Yarrowia lipolytica: one gene and its partner. The protein of the gene in region 2 binds, or shares a complex with, the protein of the main gene of each other region. Links are inferred from orthologs where the notes say so. Each region holds a gene or a part of one and is shown on either strand. Other genes may lie near its edges.

Region 1 (5,187 bases), on a different chromosome or scaffold from region 2:
ATCGCGTGCTTATTCTTCCCTAGAGAGCACTAATGATGAAAATGAGTTCATGTAGCACTGCATCGTATATTCATATTTCAACAACCGAAGACGACTTTGTTGAAGACGACATTTATCACATGGTACCAGTAGAAAAAGATGTATTATTCCTGTTCTACGACCTTCTTGCTTCTCCTTATCATACGGTTACAGTACTGTACTACTGTACTGTACATACTGTACTTGTAATGTCCGTGCAGTATTCGTACTATACTATACTTACATCATCATCAACTGTCAGCTTGCAACTCTCCAAGATCTTACACCCTGATTGTAACCCCCGGCTCTGTTTCCCACGAATTTCTCACCCGCAATCAACTATATATAATGTCTCATCTCTTTCCCTACATCGCGTACTCCTGATAATAAGCTCTAACAACCTCCCACATGCATTGCCATGTGCACATTGCACACCAACTTAACAAGCCAAGTCACCATCATCACCATCATCCATGTCGTCATTCCTCGGGCTCTTTAAGCGGTCCGACCCGTCGGCCAATTACGAAAAGGAGCTACAGGTTCTCCAGACCAAACTTGCGGAGACAGAAAAACGGCTTTTATCGCGACGTTTGCGACTCCGACGCACCAAGGGTCTGTTCACTCTTTACTCGCTGGTCGTCTACATTGTCTACGTGGGCATTGTGGTCGCCAAGAACCAGTTGAGCCGTGACCAGCTGCTCTCCGGTAACAGACTCACACTGGGTGTGCTTTTGGGTCCTCCCGCAATCTACATTGTGCGATATGTGATCCAGGCTGTCTTGGGTCGTTTTGTGTCTTTCGACGAAGACAGAATCAAGTATCTGCGACAACAACAAGAGGGCAAGCTGGAGGAGCTCAAACAGAAGACAGGATTCTACTCCACCAAGGCCATTGTCGATCGATACGAGCCCAAGAAGAAGGAGGTCAAGAAACCCGCCCAGCAGCAAGCAAACAAACAGAATGCACCTACTAACAGACGACAAGGCGTTCCTCCTCCCACAGCAAACGTGCCTCGAAACCTTCCCCCCACAGCTAACGTTCCTGCCGTGCCTGTCGTGCCTGCCCCTGGGCCAGGACCCAATGTACCTGCTGCTGTTCCAGCCATCCCCAAACCCGTGCCTGTTTCGGAGAAGGAGGTTCTGGCAGCGAAGCAGTCGCTGGACAAGGCCGGCGTTTCTGTAGCGCCAGTTTCTACCGGCCCCTACCAGCGCCAATGGTTTGATCGAGTGCTGGACCTGCTTGTTGGAGAAGACGAGAGCGCCGCTCAGAACAGACAGGCACTGATTTGTAGCAAGTGCCACAATCACAATGGTCTCGCTCCATTTGGCAAGACTGCTGCTGAGATCAGATACAAGTGTCCTAATTGTGGAGAGTGGAACGGAAACCTGGTTCCTACCGAGGCTGTCGAGCTTGTTGAGGAGGTGAAGGAGGAGAATGAAAACGAGAAAGAAGAGGCTGAGGAGGAGGAGGGCGATGCAGTGGTTCCTTCAGAGGTGAAAGAGTTGGTCTCGGAGATGGTCTCTGAGGTTCCTGAGGTGTCCATGGCAAACTAGCATAGCATGTATGAGTAGATGATTGAATGTGTTTATGATTGTGGTATACTAGTACAGCCAGTTAACATTTACATTGTAACATGAACGTGGATGCAAATAGATCTAGATCACCTGGGATCAGGGGGTCTTTTGGAGAGCAAGACCCAGGGACACACTTTATTGAGCTACAATACACATTGATCTATACCAAACACAATGTCCGTCTTGTACAAAAGGCGTTGTGAATCTTTAGTGGCCCATTCTACCTTCTTGACCCATTGATCCACTTGTTGCTACTCGTCTGCGCAGTTCAGTCCCTAACATTATGTACTACATCGTACCTTCTTGTAATACAGTAACCAAATGCATCCTCCATCGTCTATTTACTCTCTTGTCTCCCTACTGGTCCTTCTTCAGCTTCTTGACCATGAGATAGGCATCCTTGGCCGGGGTCAGGCGCTTGTAGTAACCCTTGACCTCGTCGACAATCTCAAAGCCTCGCTTCTTGTACCACTCAATCACCTCCGTGTCGTCGGTCAGAGCATGGACGCTCAATTCCGGAACAAAGGTCTCGGCCGCGTACCGCTCAATGTGATCCAGCAGCATGCCTCCAATGCCGTTTTCCCGGTAAGGTGACAGCACGGCGATGGTCATGATGTAGATTCGCGACGGCTTGGTGTGTTCGGGGGCCACCTCGAGGCAGCATCGGATCGCTCCAACGGGGATCTCGTTGTAGTAGGCAAGTTTGGCCAGCTGGCCCACCGTCAGGGCCTCGGTGTAGAAGGAGTCGGTGTACGACGTGGGCAGGACGACCGAGTTGATGCGTTTGAGCATGCCCAAGTTGTTGGGAGTGAGGTCGTCTAGCTGGACTTTGCTCATTGTGGGTGGATCGGTGATTACGGCGGTTCAGTGGATTTCTCGTCTGCAATATCTCCTGTGACAAAAATAAGCTTTCGGGATGCACCACTGGTGTGCTCCAGACCTGAAATATATCCGGCAGGTTAGAGCTCTGCAGTTCGATTCCAGCTGGCGAAAGGGGCGAGGGGAAAGGGAAAGGAAAAAAGGAAAACAGGGAAAAAAGGAAAACAGGGAAAAAAGGAAAACAGGGAAAAAAGGACAAGAAAAGGAGAAAAGATGAAAGTGTTGATGAAAAGAGATTAATGGTTGGCAGGAGGTGTCTCGAGATGTGAGATACTGTATGTACTGTACTATATGGTCTGTACCACGAGGTGTAATCCCCCTCTATCCTGTATTGTCTGTAACTTTACTTGGGATTAATAAAATAAAAATAAAAATAAAAATAAAAATAAAAATAAAAAACTATATATTGTCATTTCAATTATGTGTCTACTAAGTGTTATCCAACTACTTGTACGACGTAATACTCAGTGTACGCCTATGGTATTGGCATGGTGACATGCGATTACTCACTCGACCTTTTCTGGTATGTCTACGCGCACTCCAACTCCGATAGAGAGGCAACGACAGACATCCCTCTTAACGTCTATAACAAGTCAAACCGGACATGAGGAGAAATTTTCCTAGCGCGGCCCCGATTGTCAGCGTGCGTGGAACGCCTCATCAGTACTGGCGTGGCTGAAGAGCTGGGGATCTTTCGAGACTGAGGGGTTCGGGTTTGCTTATGTGACCTCCAATATCTTGTCAGCTAGAATGGTCACTGGGGTAATGAGTACACTTGTGATATAAAATGATGTTCTAATACGTGTATTTGTACGGAATGACACTGGTGTACCTTATATACTGTCCTGTTGGCCGATTATCTGCCTGCATTCTTGACAATTGAATGTATAGAAGTATCATCTACACTTTTAGTAGTAATGTACATACTGTACTGTACTTGTTCACCTATATCACCAAGCGATATCTACTCAACTGAACTCCCCAAAGTCAAACTCCCCAAAGTTGAACCCGCGTTCGTCGTCTCTTGAGATGTCTATCCATGTCAGGCTACATCATTTTGTTTAGCTCGGCACAATGTTTCGAACATGAACAGTTTTCGCATGATTCTTTATATCATCAAGTGTTCATTGAGTATACTATGGCATAGTAGATAACTACAAAGAAGTGTTCATCCAGTTCTCATCCAGTTCTCATCCAGTTCTCATACAGCTCATGCAGCTCTAAACCCGCGCATCAACACATCAGTGCTCCTATAGACAGAGACCCATGTCTTCACAGATCCACCTCCGACACGTGCTCACCATTATTTGGATTTGATTTGCATTTTTTGCATATATAAGTTGTGAAAACTAAATCCAAATGTTTTCTTTTTTTCTTTTTTTTCGTGAGCAAATACGCCGTTCGGAGTTGCATGGTGTAAATTACACGGCTTTGCGACGTCACCAGTCTCCAGACAAGGGCGCTTAATGAGGCAATTAAACGAGTTGTGCAGAATTATATTAGACAAAGAAATGGCTTGGATGTGAGATTCGGCGGTTGTCCTTTCGCATTTCTCATATCGTCGTCTCCTACAAGTGTACAAGCAAGTGAGTTATAAGTCATCATATCATCAATTAGTTATTTACATCATTAAAGCGTTTTTAGAATCGGGAAAGCATAGCCAGCTATGTGAAGGAAAGTGGGGATGGTGGGCTTTCTACATCTTCTTCTCCTCCTCCATGCCCTCGGAGATCTGAGGAATGTTTTCGGGAGAAGTAGAGGCCTCCATATCGTGATGCTGCTCGTACTGAGCCTCTTCGTCATGGGGGTGGATCTTCTCGTCAATGGAGGAAGAGTCGACCTCGGAGTCAGACTGAGTGGGCTCGTCGGTGTCACCAAGGTAGACGTTGGGCAGAGTGAAGGCGGCGACAAAAATGAAGCCAGCAATGATGATGGGAGGGTAGAGAAGCTTTCGGTAAATGTCGTTGAAGGCGGTGACAATGGCCTCTCGCTCGGGAGTGCCCCAAGGGTACAGCTTGATGGGGGCCATGAGGTTGTTGACCACCTGGTGGGCCTCTCGAGGGGACAGGAAGGGCGCGTGCTTGGCCAGCTGCTTGGGGTAAGACTGTCGGTAGAGGGTACCGGCAATGGCCTCAGCCACAATGGAGCCCACGGTCATGATGGACTGGTAAATGGCGGTGGCTGTGACCACGTTATGATGGGGCACCACGGCGTGGATCATGGAGATCATGGGGGTTTGGAGGAAGCCGGCTCCAACAGCCTCCACACACTGCGAGACAATGAACTGAGAAAGACGGTGGGTGGGCTTTCGGTAGTTGTAGGTCAGACCGATACCCAGCATGTAGATAGCGGCTCCGGCGATAATGACAGGCTTCATTCGCTTGAAGTACTTGGCGTAGGCGGCAGCAAAGAAGGACGAGACGGTGGAGCCGACCACAAAGACGTTTACGGTGTTAGTAGCTGCCTTGACGGACAGGTTCTTGCACACCATGAGCCAGGGCAGGTAGTAGGTTCCGTACAGGAAGTAGGCCAGAGCGTAGCAGAAGATGAGCAAGCAGGTGGTGAACATGGTTCGGTTGGTAATCACGTAGGAGGGCATGAACGGGTACTTGGGTCCAAAGATCTCCCAGAAGGGGAAGATGAACAGCAGGATGGGTCCGATGATGATCATGACCAGAATGTGGGCCTGGCCCCAGGAGGTCGGAGAGGTGGCCAG
Region 2 (6,423 bases):
ACTGAATTTGACTGAATTTGACTGAATTTGACTGGAATTTGAAGCTTGATCATTTTTTTTTTGTTAAAAATCGTCGTAGATTTCCTCTACAAACCAAACATTCACACCTTCTGCTTCATTGTCGGCTAATAAAATTGAACAATGCAGTAGAGTGGCAGTGCTTGCGTGGGAGCTGTAGGGGGATCGAGATCGAGAGAGCGGCGGCTAATTGTGACGGAAGACGAAATGATTTTATTCATATTAGCCGATACAAACTCCAATGCTGCGTCGATTCTGTGCATCTATTTCCATTTTGGACCCAATGCCGTGTCTTGATAGAGAGAGCTGGATAGAGGTTTTCAGGGCGACTAATGGGAGTGGTAAATGGATGAAAAATGGAGTAAAAGTGAGTGAAAAACAGTAAAAACATGCGAATCAAGTCCTCCGCTCTTGTATATCGAATATACGGCCATTTGTGGTGGATCTTTGCTCTTCTCATCCTGACTGGACATCTCTAACTGAATCACCATCCCCGAACTGATGTCTGATACAATACTACCGATATATGATCAATGCAGTTCAATTTGCGAACTCTCTGTGTAATTCTTTTGTTTTTTTAGCCGCCATAAAAATGTCTGCTTTTTCCTGTGCTTTTTCTGTGCTTTTTCTGTGCTTTTTCTGTGCTTTTCTGTGGACTGTGGCAGTCTAGAGCAACCAGAACAAGACCCGGTGGTAGTCAGTCGTTCAATGTTACCTCTTCTGGTACTTGATGGGCATTTCTGTGTCCTCGCGAGCAGGTCGCAAGTCTTAGAGTAAAAAAAAGAAAAAAAAGGGATTTTTTTATTTTTTTTAGTTGACGACAAAATTGGTTGACAAATTTGACCCTCATCGAAAAAGAAAAGAGCCGCTGCACAAGGACTAATATGTCATCATACAGATGCGCATAATGAAGCTCGCAGCAACCAATTAATCTCGCTTGGGCAATCTGTTTCAGTTCGAAAATCACCCTATCCCTCCTGCGATTAACTTTTTGGGAAAAGTTTCAAAATTAGCCGAGAGTCAACATCGATTGCTATAACACCTGGGAGAGGATCAATGGACCGGAGATGTTTGTAAGATTGAATATATTAGTGCGGAGAATAGATTGGAACTTTCGCCGACGTTTTTCGACCCAATTTGGCCGTCAAATTTCAACTTTGTATGCACCCCGCAGAGAGCAAACCAAAAAATCCAAAAAAAATCCAACAAAATCCAACAAAAAAAAACAATACTCGTGGAGAGGCCAGAGAGCTTGATTTTAGTTCCGCATCGACAATGAGCATCATTGTCGTCTCCTTGGTGATACGAGTACGAGCACAAAGGCGGTCATTGTTGATCTCTGAACCAATACAAAGAGCAGACACAAAGAGCAACGAGAAGTCGAACAAAAAACCATCGAAACTACCGAATTGAACAAAAAAACTATTGAAAAGTCATAAACATTGAGAGTACTACATTTTAGTTCTTTTAGTCAACTCTTGTTTGTCAAACTGGCAATTGGAATGGTTTCGGTTACTATAACGAATACACACAGGTGGTACTAGTCAGCTAGGAGTCGTCTAAGAGAGGCTCAATTGGGCTTATGAGACGGCCGAGACTTGAATATTTGTTTCCTAAGAGGGGTTTGGTTACTAGGAATCGGATTACTAACAGTTTAACACAAGTCTCGGTGACTTCGTCTCTCGTCTCAATGGTCTGAAGTACTTGGTTCCGATGATTATCAATGACCATGGATGAATATTGGTGACTAAGAAAAGACTTGATAAGCCTCCAACAGATTTACTTGATGGAAATGAACAGGTATTTACACTGAAGACATTGGTTGGGTTGGTTTGCCGATGGTACTGGTAGAAGATAGCTTACAGTGTTCGGTAGAGTCTCTCAGTGATTCAACGAGCTGCTAAGTCTTTCCAAGAGTTGATTATCGCCTTCTCCGGGGCTTAATTACGTTCCTGGTGTTCAAAATAAATTCTGTTGGTCATCTTCTAATGATTTTTCTTTTAATCTGAATTATTTTGAATTAGTGCTGAGTTTTTGAAAAAGCAGTTAAAATTAATTGGAGAAGTCGTAGAAACATGGTAGAGGAAATCGGAAAATTGAAAAATGTTCAGAATCGTCTCAATAATGACCTTATATTCTGAAAACCTGTCCAAACCAGCCAAACCCCTCTTTATCCCCCGTCACGTGCTCTCCGGACTACTCTACATACACTCATCTTATTTTTCGGAGTAGTTGAACCAGGGAACAGGGTGTCTCCAGAATGGGATTCGGAAACCGTAGAGAAAATCTGACACCGGATTTGGATTCCCCAGGTTCGAAATACCTCCCACACACATTTTGACCCCAAACGGACCCTAGCAACAGTCCCCACGATCTGTCCATTATCCCTTCGCTTCTTAAAATAAAATAAAAATAAAAATAAAAATAAAAGTAAAAATAAAATCCAACCTCCAAATTAAAGTTTTCCACGCATATTTCCAAATCACCAGAACACAAAACCACTCTGACACAAACCCACTCTGGCTGTTTGTGTAACATACGACTACGGCTCCAACAATGACTGCGCGAGCGCCCCCTGCCAACCGCAAGCTCAGCAACATGCTGATGGCGGACTTCAAGCAGTGTCTGACTCTGTACGAAAAAAAGGAGTACGCCGAAGCCATCAAACGGGCGGATCACATTCTGACTCAGAAGCCGGATCATGGCGAGACTCTGGCGGTCAAGGGTCTGTGTCGGTACCATCAGGACTCGCCCGTGGAGGGCCGATCGCTGATCAACGCCGGAATGAAGAACGACCCCGAGTCCTACATCATCTGGCACGTGCTGGCTCTTCTGGAGCGGTCGGAAAAAAACTACCACGCGGCCCTCAAGGCGTACCAAAAGTCGCTGACCATCGACCCGTCCAACCAGAACGTGCTGCGGGACCTGTCGTTGATGCAGATCCAGACCCGTGAGTACGAGCCGCTGGTGATCACCCGACGGAAACAACTGACCGACAAGCCGGAGATCCGGGCCAATTGGACCGGGCTGGCGGTCGCGCTGTTTCTCAAGGGCGACTACGCCACCGCCGCACGAACCCTCGCGGCATACGAGGAAAGCGCCCCCGAAAAGGAACCCAAGGACAAGACCCAGTCGGACGACATTGAAAACTGCGAGCTGGCGCTGTTCCGAAACAAGTGCCTGATCGAGGCCAAGGAATACGACTTGGCGCTCAAGGATCTCGAGGAGCTGGAAAATAAAACCTCCAAGCGCCATATCCCCGACCAGCAGTCCATTCTCGAACATCGATGCGACATTTACATCCGACAGGGCAAAACCAAGGACGCCCAGAGACTCACCCGAGTGCTGCTGCGACGAAACCCCCATGACCGGGCTCTCTACCGACAGCTGGAGAAGGTGCTCGGCATCCAGGACAACAACCAGCTCAAGTCTGTCATGTACAAGAAGCTGGCTCAAAAATACCCCCGGTCCGACTGTCCTCGATCCATGCCTCTGGAGTTCCTCGAGGGCCAGGCGTTCGACGAGGCTGCCGACGCCTACGTGTCCACCCTCATCCATCGACGGGTCCCCTCGGCCTTCATGAACGTCAAGCACCTGTACAAGAACCCCGCCAAGGCTCTTTCTATCGGCGCCATTGCCCAACGGATCTTTGATGGCGCCACTGAAGATCTTTCTGGCGCCTCGGATTTTCTGTGGTCCGCCTGCTTTCTGGCCCAGCACTTTTCCAAGCTCGGCGACCAGAACAAGGCCCTCAAGTTCATTGACAATGCCATTGAGCACACCCCAACCCTGGTGGAGTTGCATCTGACCCGAGCCAAAATTCTCAAGCGAATGGGCGCGGTCAACAAGGGTGCTGAGGCCGCCAATGCCGCCCGGGAACTCGATCTCCAGGACCGTTATCTCAACACCAAGGCCGCCAAGTACACTTTGCGGGCCAACAACGCGGACGACATTGAGCAGGCCATCAAGCTCATCTCCATGTTCACGCGAAATGACACCTCCGGTACCGGCGTTCAGGACCTGCACGATATGCAGGGCTACTGGTTCCTGTCCGAGCTGGCCCGACGACAGCGACGAAACGGAGACGGCCCCTTGGCTCTCAAGCGACACAAGGCCGCGCTCAACGTGTTCAGCGAGTTTGAACACGAGCAGCTGGACTTCCATCTGTACGCGCTTCGAAAGGGAACCATGAACGCGTACATTGACATGCTGCAGTGGGAGGACAAGCTGTACAAGAGTAAGAAGTTTATCCGGTCCACCCGGGGTATCATTGAGACTTACATTGCGCTGTGGGATACCAAGCCCGACTGTGGCTGTGGAGCAGTGATTCCGGGCTCTTTCCCTCTTAAGGCGGTCGACTACAACGCCTCCACCACGGTCAAGAAGAAGAAGAAGAAGAAGACCAACGAGGGTTCTGCCGAGGCCAAACAGAACCCTAACGGTCTGCCTACCCCCGAACATCGACACGATGCCGATCCCGAGGGTCTCAAGCTCGTCAAGAACGTCGATCTGCTGGAAACTGCCCTTGTTCATGCGAAAAAGCTCGCCGAGGTCGGCGACAGCCTCGGGCTTGTGTTCCAGGCCGAGATTTATCTGCGACAGAACAAGTACATGCTTGCTCTTCAGTCGCTCAACAAGCTCAAGGCCTCCGACGCCGCATCTCCCTACGCCTCTGTGCTGGCCAAGGTCGCCGAGGCCCAGCTTAATGGCGATGATAGCACCGCCCAGAACCTCAAGGATATGACTCTCAAGATGCTTCCCAAGCTGTTCAACGAGACAGAGTCCGATGCCGTGGCCACCGCTCGACTGGCCTTTTCCGTGCCCTCTTACAAGGAGCTAGCTGGAGAATTGCTCAAGGGTCTGGTCTCGGAGAATGCCACCGCTGCCGCTCTAGCAGTTTGGGCTGCCAATTCGCTTGGTCTGGAGCTGGAGGATCTGGCCAAGGAGCAGTATCCCGAGCTGGAGGTTCCTCTTCCCAACTAGGAAAGCGAGGTCCCGACGAGGCGAGGCGTTGTGGACAAGTGGTGCGCGAGAAAGTGTCTCGTGTGTTAATTTTGTTAGATTGTACAAGAAATAGATGATGTTTTTGCAGGAGGAGGTAGAAGAGGTGGGAGTGAGAGAAAGACGAACTAAGTAATTCATATTCATGTCACGTGAGTCATTGGGAGACGTCGGTTTGTTGTCACGTGATAACACGGAATCGAATTGACGTCACGTGTCCAATATCATTTCCTTCAGTCCCATCTGCAGGAGAGAGAGAGAGAGAGAGAGAGAGAGAGAGAGAGAGAGAGAGAGAGAGAGAGAGAGAAACGTTCACAGTAGAGGAGTAAGCGTCAGGGTGACGTCACGTGTTTATTTACAAATTTAGATTGATGTCACGTGACTAATTATTGGTTTCCACGTGACCCAGCTGGTCCGTTCGACAAATTTTAAGCCCAAAGCAGATCTTGACTAAGTACAGTATGTACGTCGGATTGGTGTCATGTGACGCAACAACTCATTTTGAAGTCACGTTACCAATTACAACCCCGATTCTTTTTATCACGTGACCAATCAGCCTCCATATCCAATACCATTTTCTCTATATACAATCTAGTTCTTTGGATGGCCCTTCTTTGCGATTCTGATACTCTCGTCTTCGTAGCCGGGAATCTGAATGTAGCTGATTCCGGCCTTTTCCAGCTTTGCCAACGAGGTGTTATCTTTGATGAAGTCGTCGGGTTCCAGAACGCCAACAAACACGGTCTTGATGCTCGAGTTGAGGATTCGGTCGACGCAGGGCAGGTTTCCGGAGAGTCGTTCGGAGCAGGGCTCCATGGTGGTGTAGATGACGGTGTTTTCCGGTACGTCTGACACGTTGTTTTTAGCAAAATACTTTTCCAGAGCGCATTGTTCCGCGTGGGTGTTCCCGGGCAGTTCTCTGGAGAATCCTGTTTCCAGCACTTGTCCGTCCTTGACTAGAACGGCTCCCACGCAGAAGGCGGAGGGGGTTCCTTCGGACTTGTCTGCCTCGGCCACCGCCAAGTCCATGAACTTTTTGTGGGGTTGCGACGCCCATTCTGGCAGTTTGGTGGAGTAGGACCACTTGGGGGCGTTGGGGTTGTCTTCATCTGGTTTGGAGGAGTAGGTGAAGGCATGAAGCCATAGAGACAGATCGTTGGGGCCCGGGTCGGTGTATAGGGGCGTTTTGCACGTTTCACAGGAGCCCGAAAGCACTTCTCCCAGGGGTTTGTTGGGGTCTGCTGGAAAGAACCACGATTCGGCGGTTTTGGTCTTGCCCACGTCGTCGATCATTTTCATCATCACGTCGTAGTTTTCAAGCCCACCTTTGCCCAGGGATTCGCCCCACATTGTCGGCGACGAGTAGAGCGGGTCGTTGGCGATGGGGTGGCCCAGAAACTGCAG

What was found. Proteins that work in one complex are often made in the same cells at the same time.
Region 1: the proteins of YALI1_F16117g (region 2) and YALI1_A10529g are in contact, whole or in part, in a cryo-EM structure (PDB 6HD5), measured with the Saccharomyces cerevisiae proteins. The link is inferred for Yarrowia lipolytica from reciprocal best matches to the Saccharomyces cerevisiae genes NAT1 and NAT5. Residues at the interface, in NP_010244.1 of Saccharomyces cerevisiae: Pro376, Thr377, Gln378, Pro380, Ile381, Ile384, Asp412, His413, Thr414, Pro415, Thr416, Tyr421, Gln446, Leu447, Asp448, Leu449, Gln450; in NP_014896.3 of Saccharomyces cerevisiae: Asn14, Asn15, Leu16, Gly17, Met18, Lys21, Val25, Tyr66, Ser67, Ile69, Pro70, Leu99, Asn101, Tyr102, Lys105.

What each region holds. Positions count from the first base shown.
Region 1 is NC_090770.1:1,050,486-1,055,672, forward strand, and holds YALI1_A10529g (uncharacterized protein), read right to left. Parts: upstream 2,430-5,187; coding exon 1,950-2,429; downstream 1-1,949. Other genes in the region: YALI1_A10510g (uncharacterized protein), read left to right, coding at 492-1,571; YALI1_A10565g (uncharacterized protein), read right to left, coding at 4,168-5,187. UniProt on the Saccharomyces cerevisiae protein: N-alpha-acetyltransferase that acetylates the N-terminus of proteins that retain their initiating methionine. Has a broad substrate specificity: able to acetylate the initiator methionine of most peptides.
Region 2 is NC_090775.1:1,607,927-1,614,349, reverse strand, and holds YALI1_F16117g (uncharacterized protein), read left to right. Parts: upstream 1-2,574; coding exon 2,575-5,001; downstream 5,002-6,423. Other genes in the region: YALI1_F16069g (uncharacterized protein), read right to left, coding at 5,611-6,423. UniProt on the Saccharomyces cerevisiae protein: Non-catalytic component of the NatA N-terminal acetyltransferase, which catalyzes acetylation of proteins beginning with Met-Ser, Met-Gly and Met-Ala.